4 linked regions of the Lytechinus pictus genome follow. The protein of the gene in region 4 purifies or fractionates together with the protein of the main gene of each other region. This does not show direct contact. Links are inferred from orthologs where the notes say so. Each region holds a gene or a part of one and is shown on either strand. Other genes may lie near its edges.

Region 1 (8,861 bases), on a different chromosome or scaffold from region 4:
TAACATCTTGGCCAAAGCGATCATATACAAGAACCTGTAAACACATTGGTAAAGTTGTATGTTGATACCATTTAGTAGACCATCATGATGATGTTCACAGGCATGAGGATAAGAAATAATAAGTGGATCAGAAGAGATTGGAAGAAGAATACAATATGATGATGAAATGATCAAATAAAATATAAACAATCAGAACAGAAGGTACTTCATTATTGTATTTACTTAGAGATATACTTTTGGGTGCAAAGAGGGGATTTTTCATTATTTATATTATTTATATTTATATCACTTAAAAAAAAAAAAACAACAACAACCAGCAAGAACTACTGGTAACAACCACTTTTTAAATATTTAGATTTATATGACACCTAGATAGATCATTGTCATTTGATTGGTTGTTTGATATTGGTCATTCAGCCCATTTACAATGACATCATCATCCATGCAACTTTGGATCTATTCATCATGCAATTTAGGATCTATACAATTTTGTCAGTTGCACGCGTGCACCCAGACTGCAGGCACCACAAATAAATCACTCGTGTTTGCAGCACACATGTTGTATGTACGCGACAATCAACAGACCAAGCTTGCACTGCGTGAGCATATTTTGCATTCATAAATTTCATATGAAAAAGAATCTGTTTTTAGGTGTCATATAGACCAAATAATGAATGCTCTTATCATTTGTGCAATGGACAGAATACTTCATTCAGTGAGGCGTAAATGGATCATTTCATCTTTCACCTCATAAGAAATTCTGTCCATTGCACTCATAAACATTCATTATTTGTATACTAGAGGATGATTATTTGTAGGTGTGGGTCAAAAGCAATACTCATTAAATATTTTGTTTTACCTTCCATGCTGGTTCTGCAAGTGAAGCTTTTGTCGGAACTGCATTCAGATTCAGCATTCGCTTCAAAGCAGCTGGTACAAAAATAAATAATAATAAATTAACATTTTTAATTCACCTCGCTTCATACATGAAAAGTTTTATAATATGGTACTGCTATTTGTAACAAATTGAAAATCATTTATCTAAACATAAATTTTTAGCTGCATAAGCAATTTAGCATTATTATTCATGACCAAATTCTTACAAAATCCACTGGGATGTGCTCTACTAGCATTCCATAAGTCTTACAGTTGGAATTTGATTCCAACTTAAATTTGTTTTAAAGTAAATCACTAAATGTTTTAAAAGAGAAATATATAAAACTTGTTTACTTGGTCAGAATTATTTGCATTGATATATAAGCTCTTGTTGGTATTATAGTTTGTCTAGGGTTTGTTCGGCTTTTAGTTGTCTTATTTTTACTGGAAATAATTTCTGTTATTTCAATTTATACCATTATGTTAAGTATCTTGGGTTGGCGTTTATAAGGTTCGTCCTTTCTTGCCACTGCCTACACTCATGTTCTTTACAAATTTTATTGCAGGGAATAATTTTCCTGGTATTGCATCGCAATTTGCTCCACAATTTTTAAAGACTGCTATGTATAAAGTTTTTTTAAAGCATATATTTACATAGGACTGTACATTACTTAGTTGAGAGCTTTTCTCTTATGACCAAAAATGCTATTCTTTTTTTAAAGCAAAATTTTACCTATATTGTGTATTATATTGTATGTTTATATGTTTGTTGATTGCTATTATGAGGAGAAAATTGAGTAGAATCAAAGTAATAAACTCGAAAAGAAAGAGAGAGAGTTGAAATAAGTGTAAATTTAAACTAAAAAAAAGCACAAAATAGCCATAGACCTACTATTCATTTTAACTTACAAAAATTAGACAATTGAAATAAATTAGATTTCTTGTTACAAAACAGTATAATAATAAGCTACAGACACAGTAGGCCTACCGATACAGAGTTAAGTGAACCTCAATTCAAGAAAACAAACACAAAACAAAATTCAATTCTTAAAGTAGGGTGTCTGGAGAAAAAAATTATTTTTCTTATTTCAAGAAAATATCACATTTTCTTTGTGAATTTGAAGAGAAATGACGTTCAGACTGACAGAAATGTAACATTTTTGAAAAAAATCCAATTATTGGCTGCAAAAAATAAGAATGAAATTAGGTCATTTTTCAGCATTTCTCTGCCATAGACTGTGTAGTTAAGAAATGGACACACACAAATCCAAATTTTTAGCTTCCGAGAGCTGTTTGAAATTTATTATTAATGCCAAAAACTTGTCCATAAAGAGTCCAATAGGATTTTTTATGCTCTATCTGATGGTATGATTTTTATAAAGATTTGGAAACCAGATCACAATGAAAAATTGCGACAAAGTGAAAAAAATTGTGCAAAACAGAAATTTCATTTTCCCATAGAAAACGCATGGAGAAATGGCAATCTCAACACACACAAAAATAAGGGTTTGCAATTTATCTCTAAATCCTTATTTAAAATGATCCTATAAACTTGTCCTTTCTGTCACACACACAAAACACACACACACAAAAATAAGGGTTTGCAATTTATCTCTAAATCCTTATTTAAAATGATCCTATAAACTTGTCCTTTCTGTCAAAAGAAGCCCCTGAATTTTCTCTTTCCATACATGCCAAACACAAGTTGATAATCAATTCAGATCACATTTTTCTAGTAGCCTGAACTTCCCCGAAAAAATGTGCCATATTTTCCCCTAAATCAGCCTGTTTTATGCTGACACTTTTCAGTGTGGCTTCAGACACCCTACTTAAAGTTAAAAGATCATGAGGTGCCGAAGTCGACGTCTGTGCACTTTTCTACAACATTCTCCAAGCCCAAGGCCAAACCAAGCAAGGCAAGAGCAAGGTCGGAGCAGATGCCAGAGCTGCAGCTGGAGGCAGAAAAAGTAAGAAAGTAAAGAAAGTAACCCAGGGAACTCCCGCCCGCTGCGCGGGCGGGAGCCCAGGGGCTTACCGTGTATTTGACCATACTCACGGGACTAGCGTGATTTATGGTCTAAATATTTCTCCAAATGAATTGTGAAAACAGAATGTATGAAAAAAAAATAGCCTTCTTAATTACGAGGCCGAGACTGAGTCTGAGAAACAATTTAACAAATATGCCGCGCCGAGAGTCGAGAATAGCCACGTCACAACTCACACGAAAAATAATACATGGGACAACAGTCACTCAACTCGTCCGGTAATGTCTTGTCAAATTGGCTAACGTTAAAACATGGTGAACAAAGCTATGTTCATCTGAACATATTTGTTCCTATCATAAAATTATGCTATGATTATCCACATAAAATGTTTAGAAAAACTTACAAAGAATTTATTTTTTCAACTTACCAATCTGTTTTTCTCTGATGGACGCTGCCATGTCGTCAAAAAATTATTTTTAATAATGAAGTTGGCGACTATTAATGGTAGTGTCTAAAACATAACGTGAGAGAAAAAAAGATAAATAAAGCAAACAAGTTTTACACTGGTTTTACCATGTTTCCTCAGGGTAAGACAACGTGAGTTAAGGCCTAATTATTACTCTACAAAAGTGGAATACATGTATAAACACATCGACGGAAGATCGGGCTAAAGGCCTAAGCAAGCACGTTTACAAGGTTCATTAATTTCAAAGAAATTTGAGCAAAGAATTACACAAACAGTTTTTGAAAATCAATTCATTTTTTTTGCTATTTGCAGAATACTTGTAATTTGATATAAAAGTCATATTTCAAAACTCCATGTCCAGAAGAATTAAAGTTGATGATAAAAGAGGGTGGGGTATACCGGTATATAAGTTCTGTGAAGTGACTCATATGCTAACATTTCAGTATTCTTCTTGAATCAGGTATATTTCTTCAGTTTATGCGAATTATTAATAATTATAATATAGAGCATTAATGAAACGCCGATTATCTATTTGCCTATCAATGGCGCACAATAGGCATATATATATATCCCGGCTAGCTAGCTTCAGCTGGCTACAGGCGCATTCAAGGAATTGATTATATAAATCCTATAGGGCCTAATACAGCCCCCATAAGTCTATGGGAAATATGAGTTTCGAATAAACCTTCATTAGACCACCGGGTGCACATGGCACCAACATTTTTTGAACCGAGGGGGGCGGCGGGAAGATCAGTGATATGCCGTCTGGATTTATGGGGGCACCGGGGGCTAATGCCACATGGGCGGTGACGACTGCAATCGAGATCGCGATTCCGCAACCTGATATGTCACCCTTGGATGATAAATTCCAATCATGTTCTATATGCCGCTTTTATGTAGCTTAGAAGTAATCGGAGCGATTAATTCTAATTATTTTTGCCAAAAGATCTTTCAAGAAGTAAACTTTAGTTTTGCAGTGATACTTGGGGTTTTTGATGGGCACCGACCCCGTCTTGTACCGTATGGGTGAATGGGGAATCGGGGCTAAAACTTAATTTCTAGTATCAACGGTATACATAGTGCTCAGTGCCCGGTACACGGTTGCTTTCGAATATGACTCAATTAGGTTCCGCCGATGTCGGATCAGACAACAATAGGCCTATACATCAGGCGCGGCCTTGAGAAGCAAAATTAGAATTTGTAATGTGAAAATGCCATTAAAACATAGGTGTGCCCTCTTTTGAAATTGAAGACCTTTTTTTCGGGTACGAAATATACTTAATTTGTGGTTGATTATTTTTCCTCCGAAAAATTTGCCCTACCCCCTTTTGGAAAATCCTGGATCCGCCCCTGTACATATAGGCATACCTACTTCGCAGTTGGTTCATTATGTAGCAATGAAGGATCAGGGGTGACGCAAGGATATTTTAATAGGGAGAGGGGGCAGGCACGACGACCATTTTTTCTGACCTACTCCTCTCTCAGTTTCTTAATGCTCTTATTCTCCTTTCTTCCTTCTTCTCTCGATCTGTTTTCTTCTTCTCACTTTAGAAAAAAAAACCCGTAGGCCTAGTGCAAGAAGTGGTTCGCGCCCCTGCCCACTGTAGGCCTATGCCGCCCCGCCCCTACAGGCACTGGAAGATATTACCTCTGAATGTGTTTGCAACCCAACCAATTAAATAATTACGCCCATAGTGCTGCTCAGAAAATATATTTGATTCTCCACTGGCAAAAAAATCGTCACAATTAGTAAATCATGTGTTAACAGTCAAAACTACAATTTTCAAGAATTCCCTGTCAAGTAATGGAGATAATGGGATTATCTCTTTCTTTATTATTAAACAAAACGATTTATGATATAAGGTACAAAAGATCATCTATTTTTTAACAATCATATATTAGAATAGTAACAAGCATTGTCTGGTACAAATTAAGTACGTAAACAATTTAAACATCTCTGTTTACAATGTGAATCGCACAGTAGTTGTTTAAACATTTTAAACAAGTGTTTAAAATCTTAAACAACAGTTTAAATTCAAATATTTAATCATCAATAATATAGGTTTGATTGTTTAAGATTTTAAGCACTTGTTAAACAACGTACTACTGTGCGATTCACGTAGTAAACAGTGTTGTTTAAATTATTTTTAAGACTGTATTCATGCCTTCATGGAAATATCATATAATCATACTGAAGAAAGAAAATCGTATCATTTTTTTGTTGTTTTTATTCCCGTGGGATAAAAATATCATATAACATTACAGGCCTGTATTATTATAAAGTGTAAATATTCCAATCATTTTAACAAGAAAAGAAAAACGAAGGTGGCGAATCGATATTGTATAGGCCTACCCTTTTTATATTCTATCCGATGCAAGAAGACTTTTACTGTGAAAATGCAGGCATATGGATTGAAGATGTGAAAAAATGGATTTGATTTCATAGTCATATAAACTACAGGGAAATGCTTTGTATGATGTTATTTTTATTTATCTATTTATTTATTTTCCACTCGTGGGCTGGATGGCCCTCTTCAGCCACAGGCTGTTCTACTGAGGGGTCCAGTGGACACGTTTAAAAATACAAAATACAATGTACAAACAAATACATATATAAAAGAAAACATAAATCAATCCTAATATATACAAGGTAAGTTACGACTACAAATAACAACCTATATGGTGTTAATCAACATAATTATGGCATTCACACAATAGCAACCACTTTGAAACATTACCCTTTATAATAATTATTGTGTTAATTAAAAAACTTGATTTTGGAGGGGGATCACCATACTGTCACATACGATTTTTCTGGGGGGGGGGGGGCAAATGCAATGTTGCTTCGAAGACCATCGACACGAATCAATATTTGTGCGTTTTTCATATTTTCCCAGATTTATTTCATACGAGTGAAATCTATTGGTTTATAGGGCCTAATCATAATTACTGTCAATTCGACATCTCACCCAGTGGCGGATCCAGGGGGGGGGGGGTGGAAATTCGGCCCTTGCCCAGCCCCCCTCCCCCTCTGAGAGCCACATAGTCAATATTTTAATGTGAATATGTTGTTCATACACAAGTGTGCCCCGGCCCCTTTGAGAGTCACAGCATATATTTCGAATGAGAATATGGTCTTCATACACAAGTGAGGATCACCTTTACCTAGGAAACATGATGTGGCCCCACCCTTTGAAAATCCTGGATCCGCCCTTGATCCCACCGATCAGTGCCAAGGTCTTCAAAGCGAGAAACAAATTAATGTCACTCAACTTTCTCTTTTCTCCTTTTACAAATGCATCGGATCAGTAAACGGCGCGAGCAAACAAGAAGCCCTATATGACCAAAGCCGTAGAAAATATGAAAATCAGGATAACATCAATCAAATAGTATTGAATGATATTGAGCTCATTTATTGGTGTACGCATATAGGAGCCTCCATATTTCATCACATGTTCTAGCCAGAATATACCGGTGTCGGGTGGGGTAATGTCGTGATCCCTAAAGATTGCCGAAGTCCGCTGAATATTTTTGCCGTACCGCTGCAAATAATAATTATAAATAAAACGATAAGAATCAACTTCATGAGATTATGATGTAATTTGTTATAATATTTCATTATGATTTAAGACATCTTTTCTTCTGTTTCAATTCGTTTACATTTAAATCAAGAGAGAGATTCTCATATCTAAAAAGGTGGTATTGTTTGGTCATCTGCATATGATCATGATGATGTGCATGTATATCCAAAGGAATATGACAGATACATGTAATATATCACATACATTGGGAATTATTTAAACATCCGTTTAACTGTAAAGAATTGTGACCTGGAAGGCACTCATTTTCACAAAATGTTTTCATGAATCTTCAAGGAATTGTATTTGGGCTAACCATCATTCATGATCCGTCACCCTTAAACATGCTAAGCCCCGGTTAAGCCTATATCAAATATATTGTAGGCCACATTATTTTCGGTTCGTATAAAGCCAAGAGCCAACTAAACACATTGATTCCCATTGTTTTTAGTCCAAAACTTGGAATATAGCCAAAAAAGTTTATATATGTGTTTATCGAAAACGGGAATTAATCAAGACTACCAAACTCGGGATCCAACAGCCATGACAGTCATCAAGTAATTAATCCAACTTATATTTCAGTGTGATTTCCACTATAACATCTCCAAAAGTTAGCATATTAACTATTTAGCATTTTGCATTTTTAATTGAAAAGGCACTGTTAGGATAATGACTTTCGAACAAGCAGTAAACATATCGAGTAAAGGCCAAGTATTTGACAAATTAAAATATATAGTACTACTTCTACCTATCATTTGTAATGACGTCAGTCAAAGCGGAGTGGATGATATCGACACTGAGACTGAACTTGTCCAAGACCTTTCCCAGTCCCCTAGGGGTCACCCTGGCGGCAACATCGTGTTGGTCAACGTAGAAAGGGATGACGACCATGGGTACAGCATGGTAGACGGCCTTGTAGAAACCATTGTTGCCTCCTTGGTACATGAAGGCCCGTGTCTTTGGGTTACCTGATTGCAAGAGAATGGGGATGGGCATAAAATATTAGATCTCAATATGATTTTATTAATCCATGTCATATAAAAGCATTACATCCTACCACGAAACATACTCACTAGTACTGTCGTATTTAGTGTTTTTTTAATACGATTAGGTGTTGGGGCAACCCCAGCGCTTATCCCGGGGGGACAGATTTTGGAAGGGGCACAAGCTATAGAGCTTGCATGCCTGGGGATCCATTTTTTTGAGGTGTACCACTGGAAATCAATAATTGGTGAATAAACATATGCATTTATATTAGCTGGGTGGCACTGCTGACATATGGCTTTGAAATATTTTTTCAGATGTCCAACATCTTTCCCAGTAGCTCAGTGAGCCAAAAATTTGAGGGGGCACAACAAGTCCCGAGAAGGCGAAGCGAGCGAGCAAAACTTTTGACCTGTTTAAAATGAAAATATAATTATTATTATTTTTTTTTTGGGGGGGGGGGCACATTTTCTCCATTATTGATCTCTCTTTCGATCGGCAAACACCAGTCTATATATAGTTGTAAATTTTTACCTAGTAAATCATTTTGTGGTAGCCATAGCATGATTTTGACATTTCCAGGCAATTTATGATGTCAGCCCTGTCTCTGAGCTGCCATATTACCCTCTGGGGTAATCGTTCAAAAGCCTGTGCAAACATCTTTAAGATGTCGGAGTCCATGGCGGTGAGGTATGACCCAAGAGTGAAAACCACTACCCCATAGTAACCAGAATTCATAACAAAGTCTTCGAGCTCCTGAAGAGAAAATGACAAGAGGAATGGTTAGTGGGTGAGATGGGAAGACTTCTTTGTCGATCATGCATCATAAAGACTGTGATCATATATGCATTGTTATGCTTTTGTAATATATATATATATATATATATATCTACAAGTATTCGCTATGCTGCCATTCCTCCGTCTGAATACGATATGCCCACATAGGTTTGCTCAAGAAAGGAGGAATATTAC
Region 2 (7,922 bases), on a different chromosome or scaffold from region 4:
AACTTTCTCATTATTTGTCCGATTTTTCTCAAACTTTCTTTGTTCTTATTCTTTGATTTTTCTGTTTTGACACAAGCCTACTTAATTTTCTAAATGTTTTATTTCCCCTTTAATGTGCGCGAAGCGTGAGCTAAAATTTATGATATACTGACCTGAAAGGGAAAGTTTAAATTCATTGTTAACCATGTAGGAAATTTGTGAATATTATGGATTTTCATAAACGTAAGGTTGCAATGCCACAGTGGCACGTATATACAAAGACTTTCAAAATGACGGGCAAAATGATATGAATATGTATGTATGTATTTATGTATATGTATGTGTGTGTGGGTGTATGTATGTGTGTATGTATGTATGTATGTATGTGCAGGGATGTATGTATATGTTCAGCCTTGTTTGAAATTGTGGTACATAAACCAGGTAAACCGTCTGTATCACGTTTGCTTGAATGACATATACTTCTATCACAGAAGGTGATATGATAAAAGTATGATAATAAGAGTACAGGATGTGATGGATGTATGAATGGATACAGATCGGGTAAAGTATGGATGAACTCCCCCCCCCCCCCTTGTCTGTTAAATCATCCGCTCCTGCATGGTATAAATAATATAATAATAATAATAATAATAACGATAATAATAATGAGAAGAAGAAGAAGAAGAAGAATAGGCATTTATATAGCGCCATCTGTCTAGAAATAATCTATTCCGAGGCGCATTGTTTACTATCATTATTATTATTATTATGATTAGCCCGGCTTTAGTTCGAGCTGCCTTTGAGCGCTCAGTGCATCAGTAGTAGGTCGATGATTCAAGGAACTAATCCTGTCGGGTACCCATTCACCTCACATGGGTCGAGTGCAGCACAACGTGGGTAAAATTCTTGCTGACAGAAAACACGCCAAGGATGGGATTTGAACCCACGTCCCTCTGATTGAAAAACAAGGGTTGTAACCATTAGACCACGGCGCCCCCTTGAAGAAACAAAATGATAATAAATCTAACATAGAGGTAAGATGTATCTCCTATCATAAAGTAATTCGGAATTTGAATTGTTTTCAATGATATGAATTATAATGCATATGAATAATATAAACAAAATTATACAAATTGAATAGTGGTTTGCATAAACACATTATTTCTTCCGAGCCATTTTTTTTCACGGAGTAAGATATATGATTTGGGTGAATAAATAATTTTATGTATAGTTTTGTTCGTAAAAATTCAATAATTTCATACATTATGAGAGGTAATGTGCATATATACAAAAAATATATGGTAGCATTTACCTAGGCCCATTTAACATTTTTACATTATCCTAATTTTATGCATATAAATAGTTCAATATCATGAAAAAAATATGTGTTTTTGGTACTAATTTGATTGAAATATGCAAATTAGGCAGTAATTCATGTATACAAATTGTTTTGTTTTTATCGTAAGTGGTTTTCTTTCTTGCATCCACCTTAGGGTCGAACCAAGTAATGTATTTGTATTTTATGAGTAAAATAAATTAGAAAGGCAAAAGGGGCCTAAGCTTTCGATCCTAGCAGAATCTTCGTCGGAGGCAAAATGACAAACATTTAAAGTGGAACAACCATAATATAGACCACAGACAAGCTACAGCAACACTAGAAATAAGGAGACAAAAGGGGCATTAGGTGAGTAGAGAAGACCAATCAGGTTAGTGAAGGGGGTGAAAGAAAAGGAGTAGGCAGACACAAAGGGAAGTTAGTGTAAGTAAGGCCAGTAAAAGACCTCAAGCCAAGAGGGATTAAGATAATGAGGCAGGCAACATCAAACAGGATCTGGAACAAAACAGTGATAGAGGGTATGAGGAAGAGATGAATAACAAGAGAATTAGTGAGAGGTGGGTCAAACAGGTTACAAAGAAAGGCATAGTAAACTGGTGTATAAGAATGGGGGAAAAAGGAAAAGAATGGGGAACAACTGATAATGTGCAAAAGACATATAAGTATATATGATAAAGCATAAACAAACTGAGAGAAGAAGGTAAGTGTAAATATGTATCTATAAGTGATATGTATATAAATATATCCAAAAAAGAAATGTATATGAAAAAATATATAAATACACATATGGTGTAACTGATATTGTAATCCGCTAGGTGTGACGGGAAAAAAACCTAAGACTATATAGTAGGGGAAAGAAAAACTGTATATGTGAAAAAGAGGAAGCAAATTGCCTAAAAAGGTAAAAGCAAATATAGAAGAGAGGGGGTGTATTATGAAGAAACCATAGTATACATGTAAATAAGCAAAAGTGGTAAATCTAAAAGAGGTGAGTGGAGAAAAAAAAAATTATAATAATTATTATATCGCCTGAATAAGGAAGGAGAAATTGGAGCTGAGCTGTATATGAGATATGGGAGGAATTAATTGTATTTTGTAGATCATGTACCTTTATATATCAAAAACGGTCAAATGCATTTATGGTAATTTGGGAGTGACATAGTAAGTTTATTTTTATGAATACTTTCTTTTAAGATTGATAAATTGATCAATTTGATATATTTCCATTATGATTTACTCCACATAAATAGTTCAGGATACGTGAAAATACTCTAAGTTGTGTAAAATAGGTACATGCAGGGAGACCCCCAAATATTTCTTCGCAATTTTGATTCCTTTCATCCTCAATGTCTTTGTGTCAAATTTTAGAGGTGTTTGGGTTCATCATATGCATGTATTAAAGATAAATAATAAATGTGCAAATAACTTAATTATTTGCATAAATACAGAGTATCTCATTGGATAAATCTTTTTCTGTTGACCCAAGGAACATTTCTGTCAAGCGGGGCATTTTTACTTTTAAAAAATGAAGCGTTCAACTTCTTAACAAGTCTACTAGGGGAAAAAAAGGAAAAAAGGGAGGAGAGAAGAAAACTTACAAGAAGAAAAGTAAGCAGAGGAAGAAAAGTGAACAAAGTAAGGGAGGAGAATTGGAAAACTTACATGTGATTGCTGATGTGGTTTACGGTACACCATGTGGAGTACCATAGAAGAAGAAAAGAAAAAGAAAAAAAAAGAAGAAATGGATAGGCGAGAAAGTGGAAATTTAAGAGTAGGGTAATCTTTCTTGAATGTAGTCCTGAAAAGGACTGTAAACCAGAAGAGATTGATGAGTTGAAACAGCATGAGTAGTAGGATGGATGAGGAGGTGCTGGCTTGAGTCGGCGAGTAGAGATGAAGAGCAGAAGCAGTAGAGAGACTCGACGTTTCGGGCAGGTTGACTGTCCGTCTTCAGGAGTGATTGTATAAAAATGACAATTTCGCGCCTCGCTCTCACATTGCCAATTGAATGAGATGTTAATCTGCTCAATATGATAACATGTAGCTTTAAATATCCCGTTTTAAAGTCAATATGCACTAATAACTCTGCTCGCGATTCGATTTCTTCATTATCTGTTTAAGAGAGATACGCATCATGTTCATGCTCACTAAAAAGTGCTGAAAAGAAAAAAATCTTTATCCAGCGCTACGCGCTCGCATGATTTTATTAGCTGAGATACGCATCCTCTCCATGAAATCCGGCAAACTGTCATTGGGTAGATGTACGGGGGGGGGCAGATGTCCGGGGGTAGATGTCCAGGGGGTAATTAAATGTCCGGGGGTAGATGTTCGGGGGTAGATGTCCGGGGAGTAGATGTCCTAGGGGGTACTTGTCCGGGGGGTGGATCGATGTCCTTGAGGTTCAATTTTTAGAGGGTGGATATCCGGGGGTAGATGTCCTGATACGGTAAGGAACAACTAAGACAAAAAGTAAACTGGGATAGCAGGATAGCCTATAATAGGAATTAAATAAAAGAGATTGACATAACTATTTATTTATTAATCATTTATTTGGCACTGTAAAAATTCTGAATTAAAAAAAATAGTCAGGGCATTCTATTACAATCTCTTTAATTCATATGTAAATGCATCACAATTTGGCTTGGCCGCCATGATGTATGATTTTTATCAAATAAACCATTTATCTATCTATCTATATATCGAATATGGCAAGCATACAATGTAATCAGAAAAATTAAAGGGTTAAACTTCATCAGAATTATTAAACCAATTAGTCCCTTTCTCAATATAAACTAATTTCTGGCCTCCACATATACGTCTAGTCTCTAGACTAAAATGCATTGAAAATGTAGAAATATGTTAAAAGGGGGATTTGAAAAAAAAACGGGTGTCCGGTTCAACCTATACGAAGAAGAATATCATCGAAAAAAAATGAAGTTTTTGTTTTGAATTGTGGCGTGGGGGAAAATCCCTCTCCTTGTGACGTCATCACTCATGCGTACAATCAAAGGTCAAGTCACAGATGTAGAACTGACGTTATTTCGGAGTCGTGTCATCAACAAATATTAGGGATTTAGGGGAATTTTCACCGAGGAGAGCAATCGTTCAAGTATTCAATACGTTAATTTACATACTTATTTTGAAAATTATGGATATTTCTACATCATCTACCTTTGTTTGAACCTTGTTTACACATATTCGTGACGAGAAATTTGAAGCATTGCTTTACCAATAGGCAATACCGGTACGGTACCTGCGGCTACACACGGCAAGTCTACGGGAGAGCGTAGGCGCGACCTCCGAGCGACACCGGTCAACGTGGTCTTATCTGCTACTGTAGCTCAGCTCAGCCCTTCTTCATTACTTTTTTAAGATCTGAATTCTAACGACGTACAACGTTCCGTCAGAATTTAGACTTAGAGGCTCCCAACTAGAACTTCACTTTTTTTTCAGTTGTGTTGTGTTGAACTGAAGGAGTCATGTCACTTGAAGATCCTTTCTTCGTTGTGAAAGAGTGAGTACCGTAAGGCCAGGGTATAGACTATAGTCACGTATTGTATTACCGGACACTATTATGATTCCGGACGCGCGTATTACTGCGTTCTAAAACAAATTCGTACCGTAAGACTTCCGCAATTCAATTTCACAGAGCAATACATAGAACAAGATTGCAAAAACAAGGCGAAAAATCCAACTTTTACCTAATTATCTCTAAAAATGACAGAAAATGCTTAAAATATCATAGGGCCTATAACATAGACTTTAGTTTTGTATTAACAATTGATGTATTTTCTAACGGAAATATGGGCCTGATTTGCCGAATTTCAATCTCGTCCACTCCTTCGATCGAATGATGAGGTGTGGTGTATTGTGCCGGGTGATCGTCGATGGCTAGTTCTCAAGGTACCCCCGTGCGCGAGGTTTACCGTGAGTAGAGCCGTCAATCGGCAGCGCATCGATAGAACTTGATGAGCGTCACGATACGAACGCGAGCATATTATTATTGGAAAGTGCCATGGAACATGCAGCTAACAAGACAAAATAAAATAAGTTGTCAAACACGAATTTATTACCAACATCTGCTCAGATTCGATATAAAAAAGCAAATAATACTTAGAATTTACTCATGATATGATATAAGAAGAAAAAAATCACACAAATTTGCTCTTACATCATTATAATCAAGGATATCTTTACCCGTCCGGCGCGCGTCCGGAATCATGATGTAATTTGTCGCGCACGAAAATAATTGTTTTTCGTGGAGGGGTATGCGGCAACTGCGACGCAATGAAAATGGTTGGTAAATATAAAATAATTTTATCATATTCATAATTTTCATAATATTTGGAATAGCAAGTGTGATTTTTTCTTGATTGTATTTCCTCTAGTTGTCATTTTTAAAGCACTGAAATAAAGGTGTCCGGCAATAGGATACACTGCCATACTAGTATTCAACCCGTTTGGAGAGTTTCCTCAAATATATAGAAATATAGAATTTACCTGAATTTCAGACCCGTCTTATTTCCAAGAGCAAATGCTGGTTATTCTTTTTCCGTTATTTTTTTCTTCAACCAGTTGACTGTGTGCGCGGGCGATCGAATTATACGGCGACGGATTTTAGTACTAGTATTCAACCCGTCGGCACTAGTATTCAACCTAGCGATGAAAGATGGCCCTGTCTCTCAATCTGCCCTTGTCCCATCCGACTATGGACTAGACCATTTGAGATGAGACCAAACAGGGAGTTAATCAAAGCCAGAGACTTACATAGATCTAGATCTAATTTAGCAATCTAAACCCTTTTGAGATTTGCTATCAATCCTCACTAGGTTGAATACTAGTACCATTCAGTGCAAAAGGCCATCGCCGCATAATTCGATCCTCCGCGCATACAGTCGACAGATTGATAAAGAAAATACCGACAACAGATTACCCTGGACATAACAAAGGTATGAAATTAAGATAAATTCCCTATTTCTAAATATTTTGGGGAATATGTCAAAATCTTTGAATTATGCCGGGTTGAATACTAGTACCCATACGGTAGTGCCAGTGGAACAATTTGTCAAATCACAAGACCCATATCAAGACCTAGTTCATGTTAGTTTTTTCTCCTCTTACACAGACGCCGGTTCGCGATCGTGCAGCCGCCATTAGGGGGTAAACAATTCAAAATCCCCCGACAGGGAACATCGATTTTTGTCTTTATTTCATAATTAAAAAGATATAAAAGAACTGGGCCAAAATAAAGATTATTATCCTATTTGGCCTGAAATGCACCAAAACAGGAAAAAAATTAACTTAAAAGGGGAAAAAACAGTGACTTACTTTGACTGTCGTGCAACTCCACTCAATGGTTTTTCCGAACTTATGATACATAGACATATGGCCATTGAGTCCCTGTACAGATCGAGTTAGAACTATGGTCTCTGTAATTGGTGAGTGGAGCCAACGGAGTTCAGCGGAACAACCAATAAAACAGAGACCGAAGCTTTTGGTCCACATCATCATCAGTGTACGGAAGAAGGCAAGCCTGTCGAGACTTCCGGGCATTCCTTCTGATAGTGCTTGTTCAAACTTGACTATTTAAAATGACTTATAAATTACATGCATGCATGTTGCGTGGAGGGTGGACGGATATTTTTTAAGGGAGGATTTGATGATGATCCCTATTTGCAGTATTTTATCCTCTCTTTTGAAAAAAAAATACTGCTGGTTTAAAAAAAAACACTCGGCCTATATCGTAATCGTAATTCATATTTCTATATTACTTTAGAAAATAGACCTAGAATACCTTTTTTCATTCAGCATGTAATAAAAGTAGAAAGTACCTTAAAGTTGTCATCCATAAGCATTTTCATCTTAGACTTATGTCCGTTCCTAGATTTATTTTATCTTGACAGATAAAATAAAATATTGTGTCTCCGTTAAAATCAGTGAGATAGAATACCCTTATAATCTCTCCAAATTGGTATTCTGAGAACAATTTTATCTTTGTAAGACAAACCTATTCTTGAAGCAATGTCCAATGAGAAAAGTGGTTTTTACTCTCTCATCTCGTTCAACCTGAAAAGGAGTGAGATTGCATCAATTGCAGGACTGATCAATTGATTGACTTCCAATATGCTTGCGCTATACACTAGCGCATCTTTACAGAGATTACTTACCAAAAAGTGACGAAACTCTCATTTTTTTGTTGATGTCAATATCACATTTCAAAGACAGTATTGTAATAGTCAAGAAAAGTCTTATGAAATAATTCCCAATTCTGCAGGAATAATGTTAAGGTTTTGCTCTCAATAACAATATAATTTTTCTTAAATTTTCATTTTAACATTTGGAGCTAATTCAACTAAAATATTGCTGAAATGAATTTTGCAGAGATAAAATAGGCCCTACCTTAATTTAAGGTTATTTTATCTTTTCTTCAAAGTGACATGGGCTCACGGCATTGCAGTGGTTATACTACATGTAGTACATGATGGATTTGTCCGCACAGGCACTGCTCTGTCATGTATCATCTTTAGATATATAAAATTTTATCGCAGAGATAAAATGTCATCTCAGAATACCAATTTCATCATAAGAGATAAAAAAAGTCTTTAAA
Region 3 (8,117 bases), on a different chromosome or scaffold from region 4:
CAAAATGAAAGTCATTTGTATTTATTTATGTATTTATTATTATTATTACTTTATTTTACCCAGGGTATAGCCACGTCAGCTGCACCGGGGGGGGGGGGGGGGACCTGATTTTGGCGCCCCTGTGTACTTTTCGAAAAATAGCGCCCCCCCCCTGCCAGCCAGGCAAGGGATAGGTGCCTATAAATGCAGCGTGTTGAATTATCTTATTTCATAATCACATTTGGAAAAAAGGCAACATAAGAGTTAAGACCACTTTTTTAATGATGTGTTTTGTCATGAAAAACAATATCCGTGTATGAATATGATTTCCAAAGGATATTCTTAAACGACTTTTGAAGAAATTACAGCTCCTGCTAACATGATTCTATAGAAATAGGGGCGGATCCAGCTTTCACCAATAGGGGGGCGCCTTGTTTTCATAAAAAAATTCCCCTATCGGCCTCTAAAAGCTGATTTATTTTTTATTTTTATTCTTTTTAAGGTGTTACTTAGTCGTAGTATATAGTGATTTCTTAGCTTTATTCTTAAAAATATAAACAAGGTAAATGTATCTCATAATCCATAATTAAATGATTTGAACGCAAAGCGCGAGCTGATTTTTTTAATATACTGGCCTGAAAAAAAACCTTTTAAAGACTGTTTTGCAGTAACTCTTAGAGACGATACATATCTCAACAATTAATAATGCGAGTGCTAAGCGCGTTTTAAAAATTGTGATATGAAAACTGGACATTATAAATCATATAGGCACTTTTTGTAAACATAAACAGGATAAGATAATTCATGTAACCAACGAGTGCGAAGCACGAGCTAATTTTTTTTTCAGATTTAGACCTATAAAACACATGATTAGGATGGGTATAGGCCTATTTTCCTAAATGAATTATGCGAATTCGAAACGTGTGCTAAAATTGTTGATATTCTTATCTGAAACTCTATAGAACCAGCTGTGTTTTTAAATAAACAACGCGAGCGAGAAGCGCGAGCTGTTTTCTTTCCTTTTTTTTAATTTAGACCTAGAAACGGGGCATTCTAAACACATTTGCTATCATGAAAATGATGGGTATCTTATACAACCTAAATTATGTGAGCGCGGAGCACGAGCTGAAAAAATGATATTCCGATCTGAAAAAGGGACAATTTAAAGACTAGTTTACAGGAAATCATGAAAAGGATGAATTTTATTATATTCAGGTCTGAAAACAGGATTATTTTTAGGCACTTTTTTAAATCATGATCAGGATGCATGGGTCAAATCATTCAAACAATCAATGCGAGGGCGAAGCGCGAGCCAAAATTTGTGATAAAACTGTCATGAAAACAGGATTGTAGTTATAGACAGAGAGGTACGCCTATCAAAATGCGAGCGTGCAGGGCTATATAGCCGAATGTTGTCGATCAGACCTGAAAAGCATTTTTTTGAGAAATTAATGGAATAAGCTCGAGCTTAAAAGTTTTGATATTCCGGCCTGAAAACTGGACATTCTTGGTACTTTTTGTAAATATAAACATGATAGATAACCAACAATTGATGAGAGCGCGAAGCGCGAGCTAAATTTGTTCAGATTCAGACCTACCAACGGAACACCATTCATATAGGATAGGTATCTACTTAATTCCAATCTGACCTGGAGAACCTAAAAAACACGAGTTTGGCGTCCCCAATTCTGAAACATAAATTTGGCGCGCCCAGGTCAAACCTCAAATTGGTGCCCCAAGGATCGAACATAAATTTGGCACCCCCAGAGTTTGCGGTCATTAGGTGTCCCCTCATTTCAGGTAAATTTGCTGCCCCCCGGTCGTATATAAAATTGGCGCCTCCCCCTCCAGCTCTTTTATTACTTTTTTTTCTCTCTCTCTTCACGTCTTCTCTCCTTTCCCCATTTTCATTCTTTTCCCCGGGATCTTTTCCTCTTTCCCCTAGTTGTTCATTTCCTCCCCCCCCCTTCCCCCTTCCGTTATAGGACCTCCACTTGTTTTCATTTTGTACGTTTCAAAACTGCACATGCAGGTGATATATTTCTACTGTAAATGATTTATTATGAAATGTACTTTGAGAATTTATGGAATATGAATAAATAAATAAATAGATAAATAAATAAATTTATTTAGAGGATATGTGTCTCACTAATGATGCGCGCAAGGGAGGGGGTGAAAAGGTCTTTTTTTTTATCATCGGAACGTGGAGCGTATCTCCGTATAGTGCAATGATTAGCGATATGAACCACAAAATATGAGGTGGCACAAGGTGTGACAAAATTTTGTAAAAATCAAGAGCGAGCGAAGTAAGCGAGCATTTTTTTTTCAGTCTCTTTAAAATGAAAATCTCTTAAAATGAAAATCTCTTTAAAATGAAAATGATTTTGTGATAAAACTTAATATTCAGAAAGTGATCTTATCATCGTCATGTCATTTTCTTTCTTGAGTCTTTTTATAATTTTTGTCCTGGTCGTGAAACTTTTTTTTTTTGGGGGGGGGGGGTGGATGGGGCATGCATGCCAGTGATAGCAAAGATGAATGACCTGTGGTGGACAATGATCAATACTATAGTCCTGATCAATACCCCCCCCAAAAAAAAAAAAAAAAAAAAAAAAAAAAAAAAAAAAAACCAATATCCTCCGGATATGATGTTGTGGCTGTGGATTTGTGATAAACAAAGTAAAAATTTGAAGTGGAATGGGTCAGGGTATGAATGAATTTTATATTTATCCTAACTTAAGTTTTGAAATGAGAGAGAGCAAGTGAAATAGCTATTTTTTATGAATTGTCATGCATGATTTTCCTGAAATGTATGTCCATAGTTTGTGTTATGTTGTAGGCCTGCTTTGTTCTGTTAAACCAGAAGATCTTTATCCCTCTTTATATACACAACAAAAAAAGTAGTCCCCCCTAAATCAAATTGCTGTAACTTTTGAACGGAATTATTTTGAGATATGATATTTCATAGGTGGTTTTCTACACTCATTAAGCAACTCCTAGGGGAAAATGAGATTGATCAGTTGAGTCATGCATGAGTAATTAAAGATTGAATTAAAAATGACCATTTTTGAAAGTCACAAGAGTCGTTTTTCAGATTTTGCAAATACAAAGTTGGGCAAAAGTTATTGTTAGGTGCATTTTATGGTGTTAATGCCATTTTACTATCCATCATTTAGCCACTCCACACACAATTTTGATATCGTATGTTCATGGTTGAGTGAGCACAATATTGTAGGGGCCGCAGAAGCGGGGTAAGGGGGGGGGGGGCTGGGGACCCCCCACTTTTTTCCAAACGCATGTAAAAAAAATGTAAAAATGGCCATACGATTGTGTTTTTTGCATGGCCAGCCCCCCCCCCCCCCACACTTTTGGCTACGTCCCTCCCCAAGTCCCTCCCCCATACTTTGAAAACCGTTCCGTGGCCCCTGTATTGTGACGTATCATCATATGGGGTTTTGGTAGTATCCTCTACAACTTGTTAGGTCATATTAACATTTGAAAATGTTGGTGGCTCCCCCAATTATAGGCCCCTCCCCCATTTTTAAATTCTGGATCCACCCCTTATTTGTCCATAAATTAAACTCATCATGGGAAATTGTTAGGAAAAGAATACATTTATGCAGTATAAAGAGTATTCATTCCTAAGTTTTCGAATGTGCTCGCTCAACCATGAAAATGTTAGAAGTTCGGAAAGTGTGTGGTGATAGAAATTATTGATGACAAAAACAACAGCAATTAAAGTCACATTTGAAACCGAATTTGCCCCCAATATTCACCTTATTACCCTTTAAAATGAGTCTGTGACATTGAAAATACCAATTTTCCCACTTTGATGCGTGCTCACTGCTCACTCATCCATAAATGAACAAATCGATTTCATTTTTGCACAGAATTCTGCCCATAGGTTGATAAACATTGCTGCCAAATGACATTGCTAAAGACAGCCTTGAAAAAAAGTTCCACCATATTGAATAAGGGGTTACTTATTCTTAAACATATGCACCCATAATGTACACAAGTCTATGAGAGATGAAGTCAAAATTTTAACAAATATGAAATAAGGGTTTGTTTCATGGACGGTTTTTGTTACTTCTGCCGACAGTTATTTCATGAAACTTCGCACATGGCTTCAGAGTAACGGCTATCCAAAAGGTGCGCACACCAAAATAACAATTCGATACGGCACAGAGTGGGGCCAAGGCCTTGAACTTTCTTCTCATTTGCATAATTTTCGAATATCGTGTGCTCACTGATGCATTAAACATCGGGATTTTCATAAAAATCAAATCAAATGAACCATGCAAGGAGGTTTGTGACAGATATCCATAGTTACAAATTGCATTTTTTCCAATAACGTAAAAAAGAGCTAATCACATTCCACATGTTCATTCAAGCGTGAATGTTTAATTAAGCGCCTTTGAATCATTGAAGCATGTTAATTGGTCATGAACATAACGAACAAGTTGATAAAAGATCAGTTTCAATTCCCAAAATGAAACAATACTTGCCTATGATATTTGAAAATCGTATTTTTTGTTTACAATAAATGTTCATTGAATCGTGAAATGATGAATATTGATGAAGATACTCTTCCCAAAAATTATTGTCATCATATTCTATCATTTTTATTGATAAAAATGTGTAAAAACTCAAATTACAGCAAATTTGGACTTGTGTTTATTCAACCGTGAAATTTAGCCAAAAAAGTTGTATCGTCTTTTAGAAAGTACCTTTTACAAGCCTTCTGACTATTTTTCATGATGAGAATGCGGAATCAGTTCCATTAAAATGGAATCAAAGTCATGATATTTGGCTTGTGACTTTCGAAAAGTGACATTTTTGCCTTCTGACGGTGCTCACTGAAGCATGACGTAAAATATGTCCACAACATTTACTCAGATGGTAGCTTATAAAATTTCCTACACGCTCATGTAAAAATATATCAAAAACTCGCACTGGTTCGGAAATTATTGATGATTGTTCAAGGGGGACTTACTTTTGTTGTTGTGTATATTTACATAGGGTACCGGTAGTTCTCTCTCTTGCACTGTATGCATTTCGCACAGAGGATTTGGCGTTTATTATTAACATATTGTCTGATTAGCATAAAAGAATCATCCTCATTATCCTTGTAGCACCTCGGTACGGTGAGGCCTCGGTAGAAAACTAATCCATACAAGGCCTAAGGATCAAGGATCGTGATGTTGATTTAGTAATGATGAGCTGGAAGGCATCCGTCTGACATCGAACTGATGATATTTCAGCTCCAGTCGTTACCTCCCTCCACGTCATCAGTTCCACATGATTAGTCAGCGAATCGATGGGGATATGCACCGCTCGTAAAACAACAACTATAGGATGCTTGCTCGGTGTCATCCCAAATATTAATCACCTTTCTCTATAAATAATCGGTCTCGACCTCAGACTAACGAAAACAATCATTACAATCATGGCGGATGCAAGAAGGATCTCCGAGGCGAAGGAGCATATTGAGGCGGCCGAAAAGAGGTAATTGTGTGTCTTTTGTCTCTTTAATTTGATAGCTACTGATCCGTTATCAGTGCAGAATCTTGATGTGTATTTATGTTGTTGGATGTATCAATAAATGCAAAATTGTCGTCAATCCGTGACTTCGAAGACCAGCATTTTCATTCATTTGCTCTTGCTTCTCTTGATACCGTACGGCAGACCCTGCTTGCTGGCCGTGTGTGTAACTTCCTGCCACGGCTAGTTCCCCGTGGCCGTGATTGAGGATCGCTGCCTACGCTTTGCGAAGCTCGAAGTTATTAAATAAAGTAGACGAGCGGATGCACTCTGGCTCTGCGATAGTATCTAATGTTTGCCCGAGGCGGCCTGGCTGGGTTTGAGTTCAAAGGCTCGGTGCGGCCCCTTGGAGCATATTATTATTAAGTAATTTTTGACTTGCAGTTCAAATAATTTTTCAGCATCAATCTAGACTACTCTAGTCTAACTAAGTAAATGTGATGCATGCTTCAGAAGTTCAGTGTTCTTTCTCTTTCTGTGAATCAACTCCTTTCAGAGTTTCAACTTTCAGATCACTTTGTTGATTTATTCTATTCTTTTAATTCATAAATTACCATGTTTTCTTTTTGTTGTGATTCATTTTGATTTTCACGTCAGCTTGAAGACGTCATTCTTCAAATGGAAACCAGACTTTGGCAGTGCAGCTCATGAATATGAACAAGCTGGTAAGTATAATAATGAAATTATAGTTTATAAAAAAATGATCATCAGTGTAAGATTATGGTACGGTATATGATAAGGGCTATTCCACGGTTACTCACGTTACATTTGGAGACACCTTGACTCATACTTGGAGCTATAAATCCATTATTATTGATAGGAACTAAACATCTCCTTAATATCACAACAAAGTACACAGTCTGACTATCCTTTGTATAAAAAAAAACTTGGGAAATTTTATTATGCTCCTGGCAAATCTTTGGAATGTGTCGGTTACTCACGTTACATGATTTGGACATGCATAAAATGAAAAGTCGACATAAGTGAAAAGTCTCCTCATACAAGGCTTTTATGAAAGTTGATTATATCCATTTCAAAGAAGTACATTAGGGAGACAAACTTTGTACATAATCAAAAAAATAAAGAACACATGGTTTTTACTTGGGGTGCAGATAAAGTGGTTACTCACGTTACGGTTACTCATGTTACATTTTGTCCATGTATGGTTAACAACACAAATGTCATTAAAAATTCAATAATGTGTGTAAAATTCATTGCTAGGAACATCAAAAAGAGATTTTATACAAAAAATTGGAACAATTGGAGCTTTATTAGGGAGTAAGAGGGAAAAGTATGATTTTGCTTACTAATTATGCATAAATTAGCATAATTGCTTAATACCAATTTGCATGAAATAAATTACTGTATAGTATTGTAGATTATGTCCAAGACAACCTGCGTGCAAATTTTCGGCATGATCGTGCGGCCAATGGCCGAGATCTCAAGGGGGGCCTAGGAGGCCCCACCCACCCCCCCCCCCCCCCCCCCCCCCGGGGCCATATTAACTCCCAAAATACCCCAGCCTAGATAGGGTTAGGTAAGGACATTCAATGTGTTGTTCGAACACTCTTTAAAGTTTGGTTAATCGAAACCAAGTCTTACTAATGCACTCTCGCATTGTGAATACTTCTACTAACATTTAATTTTTTGTGTGATTGTATGACCACTGATATTTTGATGAACAAAGAGTCACATCAAAGAGGTGTACCCTCATTTTGCTTTTAATTAATCAAAAATAACTTCACAACTCACCATGAGACTTAAAACTTGACATCCCACAGAAAATGTTACCCAACTGCATAATTTTTAGTGGTTACTCACATTACATGATGGTTACTCACGTTACAAAGTTACTCACGTTACAGTTTTTCTTCATCATTTTTATAAAAAATTGTACTTTTTAATGATTTTGATAGTCATCACTGTGTCAAAGATTGTTTGAAGGAAGAGAATTTAAAATCCCACCAATTAACTGTGAAGAATTTTTCTCTCAGAAAACAAAGTCAGTTTTTTCGGTTACTCACGTTACATCACCTGAGCAGGTTGCAATATTCATTTTTGAATGAGTACTACAAATTTACTTGAAAAGCTGTTGTGTATTTTAGGTAATTTGACTCTTCTAAACTTCAGAAATATATAAAGTGGTATGTTGTTGCAATAACAAAATGGTAATAAGGTATATTTCATTTTTCACTATTTTTCTTGTATTTTGGTACAGAATGGAAGACACAAGTTTTGACAATTTTTTTCCAAAGTATACATATGAAAATAAACTTTTTATTTCTTGTTCCTGGAACTATCATGCATGAAGGACTTAAAGTATTAAAAAATTCAAGAAAATATTGAATTTGAATTTTTAAGCTCATGTCCACCAACCTGTGGAATTGCCCATAAGGTTCAGTTCTGGATGCAGGATCCATTGATTCTCTAGTATTGGCTAGCTCTTGATGGTATTTGGAATCTATTCTTTTCTCTGCCTCTTCTTTTATGTAATTAACCATTCTATCCAAGTACCTTTGGATTTGGAAGCACCTCAAGAAAATGGTAGATGATATGCAATAGATCTAGGTATATACATGTAGAACTGAATTTAT
Region 4 (8,476 bases):
TGGTGCTGATGTATGGTATTGGTTTAAATTTTCTTTCAGAAGTTTGTTTAAACTTACCGGATCCAAACAGTGTAAGAGCTTGACTGGTGAACTGATTCTTGAATTCTTGGAAGCTTCCAAATGTTGCATTTATCTCACTTAGCAGATCTCCAGAGGGCATGGGGATGTCATTGTCCCTGTTGGCGGCCATCGTTGACCAGTAAATGTTGTGATTCACGAACCTGCAAACGATAAAATTAATGAGTATTGATCAGCATCATAATACGCATAAGAATCATGTTCTACCTTTTGTTGTAGCACCACTGGTGTTGTAATGCCTGACCCCACCTAGCATCAGGTATTTGAGAAGATTGCGCTTTGCTCAATGAACTTTGTTTTAATAAAATCAAAGTCATATAACTTGAGTTTATTTTAAGTGGTGGCAGCGGTGGGATAGCCCATCATAATGACTGGAAGGCACTCCATATTACAATAGCAGGGGTGTATGTGACCAATTCAGAGATGCCAAATTCAGATACCAAAATTACATGACATTTTTCACAGGAAACCATGGGCAAATAGACTGAGATGATATATAGAAAAACGAGAAATGAGATGGGTGGGGGGGGGGGGAATAAGGAGCCATTCTATGGAGACTTATGCCTTATGAGTCTCTGCATGATATGAGTCAGCAAACATGCTGACTCATGCCTTTGTCAGCATGTTAGCTGACCAAGTGGTGTTTGTCTGTTCTCGTACTTAATAGATTTTTTAACCTTACTGTTACATAAACATTATCTTAATTCTAAGTTATTTTATTAATTCAAAATTCAAATTTTCTATTTAATATAGCTGCGACCAGTATCATTTTCATAAAATATGCCCTATTTATTGTGAACCAGCAAAACTATATATAATTCATTATCAATTCATCATGATCATCATCATTGTTACCATTACCATCACCATCATGATCATCATTATGATAGGGTGTCTGAAGCCACACTGAAAAGTGTCAGCATAAAACAGGCTGATTTAGGGGAAAATATGGCACATTTTTTCGGGGAAGTTCAGGCTACTAGAAAAATGTGATCTGAATTGATTATTATCTTGTGTTTGGCATGTATGGAAAGAGAAAATTCAGGGGCTTCTTTTGACAGTAAGGACAAGTTTATATGATCATTTTAAATAAGGATTTAGAGATAAATTGCAAACCCTTATTTTTGTGTGTGTTGAGATTGCCATTTCTCCATGCGTTTTCTATGGGAAAATGAAGTTTCTGTTTTGCACAATTTTTTTCACTTTGTCGCAATTTTTCATTGTGATCTGGTTTCCAAATCTTTATAAAAATTGTACCATCAGATAGAGCATAAAAAATCCTATTGGACTCTTTATGGACAAGTTTATGGCATTAATAATGAATTTATAACAGCTCTCGGAAGCTAAAAATTTGGATTTGTGTGTGTCCATTTCTTAACTACACAGTCTATGGCAGAGAAATGCTGAAAATTTACCTAATTTCATTCTTCTTTTTTGCAGCCAATAATTGGATATTTTTCAAAAATGTTACATTTCTGTCAGTCTGAAGGTCATTTCTCTTCAAATTCACAAAGAAAATGTGATATTTTCTTGAAATAAGAAAAATAATTTTTTTCTCCAGACACCCTAATTATGATCATCATCATCATCATCATTATTCTCATCACCATCAATTTAGATTATGATCTACATAATTGAACCCAGGGACAGATCCAGGATGTTCCAAAAATTAACCAAAAAGAAATTTCGTCCACAAAAAAGTTTGACAATTAAGCAAAATAATAGAAAAAAGGTCTTCATTTTCAAAAGGGGGGGGGGCACACTTCTGTTTTAACAGCATTTTTACATTACAAACATTACACGAGCCGGCTTTGCCCCCCCCCCCTTGGATCCGCCAGTGATTGAACCCTAATGAACAACTCACTCCTAGATAGGTTTGAACAATTTTTTCTGTTCTGTCTTTTTATTCACCGAAGCGGTTAGAGCTGAATAAAAACAAGACATGATATTTAGTGATAAGTAGGTTTAACTTACCCACCACCATTGTTTCTAATGTTGCGTTGATATTTGGGAGGAATGTCATCCAGATGCTTCAACAGGTTGAGAATGGATGTTGCTACATAGCTGTCTGGCTCCTAATATTTAAAGAACATTTGAAACAAATAAATTCTTTCAAATACATGTAGATCTGTCCTGGGTTTATAAAGATGGGAATCCAGTATTAATATTAGGCCTAATTAAGTTAACCTTGACTAAACCTTTAAAGGGGAACCCCATCTAGTTAAAAAAAAATTATTTCCAGACTTGGGTAGATAGATCATTCTAAAAACTGCAACTGTGCAGTCATGATTGATAACTGCATCTGTGGAATACTATAGTAGTAGTAAAAGCAAAATACAGATATTTTTCATTTCCCCCAAATAAGCTATATACACTCATAGGCCCATACGCACGAATTAAAACTCTCTACACGAGACTCTCTGTTATTTATTGAGATTGTTGTATTCACCTCAGTTCTCCACAGTTGTAATGCTGCATTGAGTTTGCGTGTGTAGCCTGCGTGGTGGCCGCGATGGTGCACTTTCAAAGTTGCACTGTCGATGTAAGGTTCTAAATCTTCGTAATCAAAAGGCAAATCTGGCAAATCATACTCTGATCTCATTTCTGCAATACACTCAAATGGATAAGAAATGCAATAACAGCTTGAGCACATATATAAAATGAAGAAAACTGCCAACATTTTGCTTTCTACGTAGCAAGCAGACGCCATTGTGTTGAATGAAAGTGCAAAAATTGCATGTTTTCTTCCACGCATAGGTCAACATGCACAAAACTGCTGTATTGATAACAAGTGAAATCCGAATTAGATTGGGGCAGGTTTTCTTGGAAAAAAAATCTTACCAAAGCGTAAATTAAATATGCCCCCTGGAAGTCAATCATCTGCTTGTACCTTTATTGTTGCTTGAAAAATATAGTTTCATTTGTATAAATTTTGTATAAATGAAGAAAATAAGCGAAATGATAGATCGAGGGAGGACTTTCTGCTGTTTGTGTATTTATGTTTGTAAATAAAACCGCCTATATAGCCAGGATAGGGGCGGTAAGTATACGCGAGGGGGGGGGGGGTGCAGGGAGGGTTTTAAAAAAAAAATCAGAAAAAGGCATTCATTTAGTGGTATAAAATGCATCTTGGTCAGATCAGATTCGATAGCAAAATATTTAGCCACAGAGTTGCAAAACGGGGTCTCGATGGGTATAGCGTTGAAGATGAGAAGTTTTTCTGAAACATTGACCTGCTCTAATTCATTTCATAGTTTCATTTTTCTTAGATTATTAAACTCGATTTACGAAGAAAAGAGCTAAAAATGGGAAAGGGGTGATGCTCGGAGAGGAATCTTTCCTTTTCTATACTGACACACGAAACACGCGTGAACCTCTGTGATTTGTTTTAAAAAAATACCTGATTAGAAAAATTTCATAAATCATAAATATTTATAAATAAATATTCAAAATTTCAAATCGATGGGGCAAAATAAGACATGGGATTGATGTGCCGCGATATGGAAAAAAGTTTCATCGTATATACTATATATATTTATATACATATATATACCTACAGTTTTGCCGGTATATAGCACAGCCGGGGATTTCATGTATGTCACTTTGAGCAGATACTTGCCCAATATTGCTTGCTTAAAAAGCGGAAGAAATAGCACATTGGGACTCGAATGCGGTAGTGTTTCAAAGCTTCGACCAGAAGAGCAGAAATTTTGTGTCGATACAATTAAAAAGATACTTTTTATGATAATTTACACCAATGTAATGTATGTAGAAAATTGAGTGTGGAAAACAAAGGGAAAGGCAAAGTTAGGCCTACTGATTTTCCTGCACAGAGCGCGAAAGAAAATTTTGTTTGAAGAGAGAGAAGAATGTCTCATTTAGGTTTATATTCTTTTGAAAAAAGAGAAGGAAAAACACTAAAGCTGTACCCTTCTTCCCCTTTCAGAAGGGGTGCAAACAGGGGCAGATGCAGAATTTTCCAAGGGGGAGGGGAGCATTTTTCCAAGGTCCCTAAAAATGAAGGTCATAGTGTCTCGTGTAAAATTTGACAAGCCCCCCAAAAAAAGAAAGAAAGAAGAAGAAGAATTAAGAAGAAGAAGACAAAGAAGAAGAAAATGTCCTTACTTCCCATTAAATATGTTAACTTTGACTCTCAAAAGGGGGATGGGGCACGAGCCGGAAATGCCCCATCCCCCTTGATTTGCCACTGGGTGCAAATACTAGGAAAATGAATGAAATAAGCTTAAAACTCTACTTAAATTCTTCCTATGAAGCGGAGAAACTGCGGAGCTCACCCTGCACAACATTTATAGCTATATAGGGCGGCGTCTCAAGCCACCTTTCAGTAAACATGGGGCTATAATGTAGGCTTACCAAAACGTGGAAATAGTATTCAAAATGAGATAGTGTGCATGTCCTTCCGGGTCCTTCCACCCCCTTTTAAAATCGTTCTGCGACTTATTACTAAATGATCACAATATAATTTCAATTCTTTATTTCTGAGCTAAATTCAACTCCCTGATTAGAGGTATCTAAAATAAATCCACTGGATTTTGATATGAATCCTAAATATTTTGCTCAACTCCTGATGATTTACATTAAAATCTTTAAGAAGTAAATCTAAACCAAGTGACTGAATGGTCACCAACCACACTATGGCTGTAGTGGATTTATCAAAAAGTCCATGAGATTTAATTATAAATTGTCATTTATACCTTGGTCACATTTGCTCTACGGCGGCCGTACGGCGAGTCGAAAACAGCCGTTTTAATTTTTTTTGTACCAACTACATATAGGTGGTTTGAATTAAAATTAATAAAACGGCTGTTTCGACTCACCGTACGGCCGCCGTAGAGCAAATGTGACCAAGGTATTGTGCGTTCGACCGCCCCTCAACCCGAATCCCCGGCCCCTCCCCCTATTTTATTTTGTTTTGGATTTTCAATCGCACGCCACCGTACAAAATATTCTCATCTCCGTTTCGAGGTAAGTAAAACGCCCCATTTTATTTCAAAATTAGCTGTATTTATAATGATGTGGTTATGTAGTAGATGCATGAGTCGAACGATATTTATTACTTTTCAAATAAGGAAGTTAATCCATGAATTGAAGTCGGATAATAAATTTGTAATCCACTTTTGGAAGCGAGCAAGATTTCACAATCGTCGCTTACGTTACGACTTACGGTACGGTGCTAGAACTTGTGTCCCCAAGACTCCGCTCCGAGACCGAGTCCCGCTGCGCTGTCCACGTAGCTTGGTCCACGTCCACTGTGATGTGCTGTCGGCCGTCGAGTGCGTGAGTGACTCATTCAAGATTTTTTTTAGACTGAGAGACGTGGTAATTTCTAATTATGGTATATGGTACAGGCCAGATCGTTTTTACGTTAGTATAATAATAGCACTTGCAAAACACTTCTTCAATTTCAAATTTTAAATTTTTGAATAAGAGAAAGAGGTGTGTGAAAAAAAGATGTCTGGGCTGGCTGCGCCTACACCTGTGTAGCCAGGCGGCTTCTTGAGAGTAAAAATCATTTACTAACGTAGGCTTACTCTAAACGAAGCCAGGGAGTCCTCCCTATTCATCTGCGTGTACCTCCCCAACGTTACATGACGCTCGCGTCCGTAACGTTGGGGAAGTACAATAAGAAACAAGATGGCGGCGTAAACATCGGGCAAGTCTCTTCCATCTTTTCACAATATTTTTTCATTTTTTTGATGAATTCTTGTTTAAAAATAACAAGAGCGTAGAAATGTCGGAAATGAAGTTTTATCCCATGTACGTGATTTAGAGCTAGATCTTTTAGAAGGAAAGTAGAAATCTCGGGGGCGAAAGTTTCAGGGTTTTTTGCGGTACACGCAGATGAATAGGGAGGACTCCCTGGCTTCGTTTAGAGTAAGCCTACGTTAGTAAATGATATTTACTCTCAAGAAGCCGCCTGGCTACACCTGTGTGAGTCGATCAAAAAAGTTTGAGGTGAAAATTTAAACAAAATTTTGTGTGTGGTTCTGGTAAGAAGCATATTTTCCCTTATGTGCATTGTATGATATTGCTGTTAGGCTAAATAGATTTAGATCTGCTGGAGCATTAAACATAGATCTACATGGTATGGCGGGGCTGTCAACTCCTGCCTCTCTTTTAGTTTTACTACTGTTTACAGTTTAATCGTGAAAGATAATTTTTGTAAACACCCCTTTGTTTATGATTCCAGCTATAAATTTGATAAATTGTTTGTCTCATTTGCAGTGTAGATTGAAGTGGCTAATCTAAAAAAAGGTTGCATCAGAGTAAGACCAAAATGTCAAGGGTGAGTAAACTTAAAGGGATACTCCAGGCTGAGAATATGATTTGAACAGATAAAGAAAATCAGACTAACATAATATTGAAAATTTTATCAAAATTGGACAAGGAATAACAAAGTTATGACATTTTAAAAGTTTTACATTATTCCGGTGAAATAATTATACATGTAGACTTGTCTTCATGAATATTCCATGAGCAAATTGATGATGTCATATCCCCACTTGAACTTTTGTATTTTATTAGTTTTAATATGACAGAATTATTAGTGTTATTATTTATTTATTTTTATCATTATTTTGACTATTTATGTTCATTTTTTGATAAATTTTTTTTACCAATTGTTTTTACTTATTTAATTAATTTTTAAACTTTATTTCTATATATATTTATTTATACGATATACATATATAGATATATATATATATTTTTTTTTTTGGGGGGGGTGGGGCTTACACTCATTGAAGCCTTATTGCAAGCATACATGTATGCAGCGGAGCAATATTCATGTTTCAAGTAAGAATAATTGCTGAAGTAAATAGCTATTTCATATTTCATTTGCTTTTGTTAAGAAGGTGTGATTGATTTCTTTTCCTTATTTCTTGCAGGAGCTGAAAGCAGTCCGTTGTCCAACGGACCAGCTTTCTTTGACAAATAGAGCGGTTGTATCAGACAGAGATGCTTATGCACGTGTTGAGTAAGTATTTTTCTTTTTCTTTTCAACATTTCCAAACTGTTTTCTTTGAATTAATGCTTAGCTTAAATATTGGCCTGGAACATTGGCCAGAGTCATAATGCTTTTGAAATCGGTAGCATACATGTAGGCCTACATGAAGCCTTATTATAATTTTAAGCAGAGATAGGCATAGGAATTTGAATTTTACTCTTTTTGCAACAAATTTTTTTAGCTATCATGTAAAAACTTGTCTTTCGCACCTCTAAAGGTCTTTTTATATCAATTGGCAGTTTTGAGCTAGACATACATATAGGGCTTCTTTTGATATTAGGTTAAGGAAGAGGAATCAAATATACAGTATGTACTTGAACATTTACATACAGAGTAAGCTTGTAGAAAGTGGATATGTTTACTGGGGAAAAGAGAACTGAAATAACATATGCATACAGAAAAGTTACATAATGCCTCCTAAGCTGTAATAAAAGTACCCTTTCATCAGCATAAAGAAAGTCATTTGTCTTTGGGGAATTGCATTTACATATAGGTCTGTTACCCAATTTCCTTGATAATCCAACATTTGTATTCATAGCTTTCTAATACTCTTCAATATGTTTACATCACATGACATTTAATGTGATGGCAATATAATGGTTGAAATATAAAACAACAGTGATGATAAGAAAGTAACTTTAAACATTTTTACCTGTTGTGAAGTGATACTTTGCTTTAAACGCTAAGGAAGATGTACCATATTTTCCGGTAAATACATTGCACCCTTTTCCCTCTTTAAAATAAAATCTTAAAAATCAGGTGTGTCTTCTTCAAAGAGACCACAGTTCAGCCTCAGTCAAGACACCATGTTTCTCCAAAGACAAAGCTGTAGGAACATCCAAGATACATACAGAATATTTAATATCAATATTTGACCTTTACTAAAAACAGAAAATGTATTGTGTAAAGTTTTAATAAAAGATCCCCTTTACAAAGTTTCTATATATCATCAGCATTATTACTTTTAATTTAGTAATGTTTTTATAAAAAAAACACTGTTTCATGATAAAGAGTTGGTTATTATTCAGAGGGTAAAATGCATGGAAAAATGCTCTATAATATAATCGTAATCAATTGAATTTTAATCAGTTGTAATTGTAATTGGTTATAATAGAAGGCAATACATAATGTTAATTATTCTTCATTTATTTTGTTTTATTTTTTCTCATTCAATTATTTTTATTACTCTTTCCCTTTTCAAGTTTTCATTCCATGATAAATTTACCATTGAATTACCATAATCTTCTTTATTCTACAAAGAAATAATCTTTATCCTTTGGAAATAAATCTTAGAAGAATTAAGTAAACATATTTAAGAAGAAAATAATTTTTTTTTCTGACCTTTTTGTATTTGGTAAAAATAACTTCCTG

Evidence for each region.
Region 1: the proteins of vesicle-fusing ATPase-like (region 4) and sec1 family domain-containing protein 1-like purify together in Homo sapiens (affinity purification with mass spectrometry; 3 studies listed by BioGRID and IntAct, with this or other methods). This does not show direct contact. The link is inferred for Lytechinus pictus from reciprocal best matches to the Homo sapiens genes NSF and SCFD1.
Region 2: the proteins of vesicle-fusing ATPase-like (region 4) and syntaxin-6-like purify together in Homo sapiens (affinity purification with mass spectrometry; 3 studies listed by BioGRID and IntAct, with this or other methods). This does not show direct contact. The link is inferred for Lytechinus pictus from reciprocal best matches to the Homo sapiens genes NSF and STX6.
Region 3: the proteins of vesicle-fusing ATPase-like (region 4) and gamma-soluble NSF attachment protein-like purify together in Homo sapiens (affinity purification with mass spectrometry; 3 studies listed by BioGRID and IntAct, with this or other methods). This does not show direct contact. The link is inferred for Lytechinus pictus from reciprocal best matches to the Homo sapiens genes NSF and NAPG.

Annotation. Positions count from the first base shown.
Region 1 is NC_087251.1:20,937,837-20,946,697, forward strand, and holds the start of sec1 family domain-containing protein 1-like, read right to left. Parts: upstream 3,368-8,861; 5' UTR 3,320-3,367; coding exon 3,289-3,319; intron 931-3,288; coding exon 860-930; intron 35-859; coding exon 1-34. UniProt on the Homo sapiens protein: Plays a role in SNARE-pin assembly and Golgi-to-ER retrograde transport via its interaction with COG4. Involved in vesicular transport between the endoplasmic reticulum and the Golgi.
Region 2 is NC_087259.1:2,725,928-2,733,849, reverse strand, and holds the start of syntaxin-6-like, read left to right. Parts: upstream 1-4,313; 5' UTR 4,314-4,794; coding exon 4,795-4,829; intron 4,830-7,922. UniProt on the Homo sapiens protein: SNARE promoting movement of transport vesicles to target membranes. Targets endosomes to the trans-Golgi network, and may therefore function in retrograde trafficking.
Region 3 is NC_087246.1:25,046,374-25,054,490, reverse strand, and holds the start of gamma-soluble NSF attachment protein-like, read left to right. Parts: upstream 1-4,951; 5' UTR 4,952-5,428; coding exon 5,429-5,487; intron 5,488-6,120; coding exon 6,121-6,188; intron 6,189-8,117. UniProt on the Homo sapiens protein: Required for vesicular transport between the endoplasmic reticulum and the Golgi apparatus.
Region 4 is NC_087245.1:20,381,698-20,390,173, forward strand, and holds the start of vesicle-fusing ATPase-like, read left to right. Parts: upstream 1-5,022; 5' UTR 5,023-5,064; intron 5,065-5,080; exon of another isoform or gene 5,081-5,376; intron 5,377-6,324; 5' UTR 6,325-6,376; coding exon 6,377-6,385; intron 6,386-6,986; coding exon 6,987-7,075; intron 7,076-8,476. Other genes in the region: superoxide dismutase [Mn]-like, read right to left, coding at 58-221, 2,053-2,153, 2,528-2,833.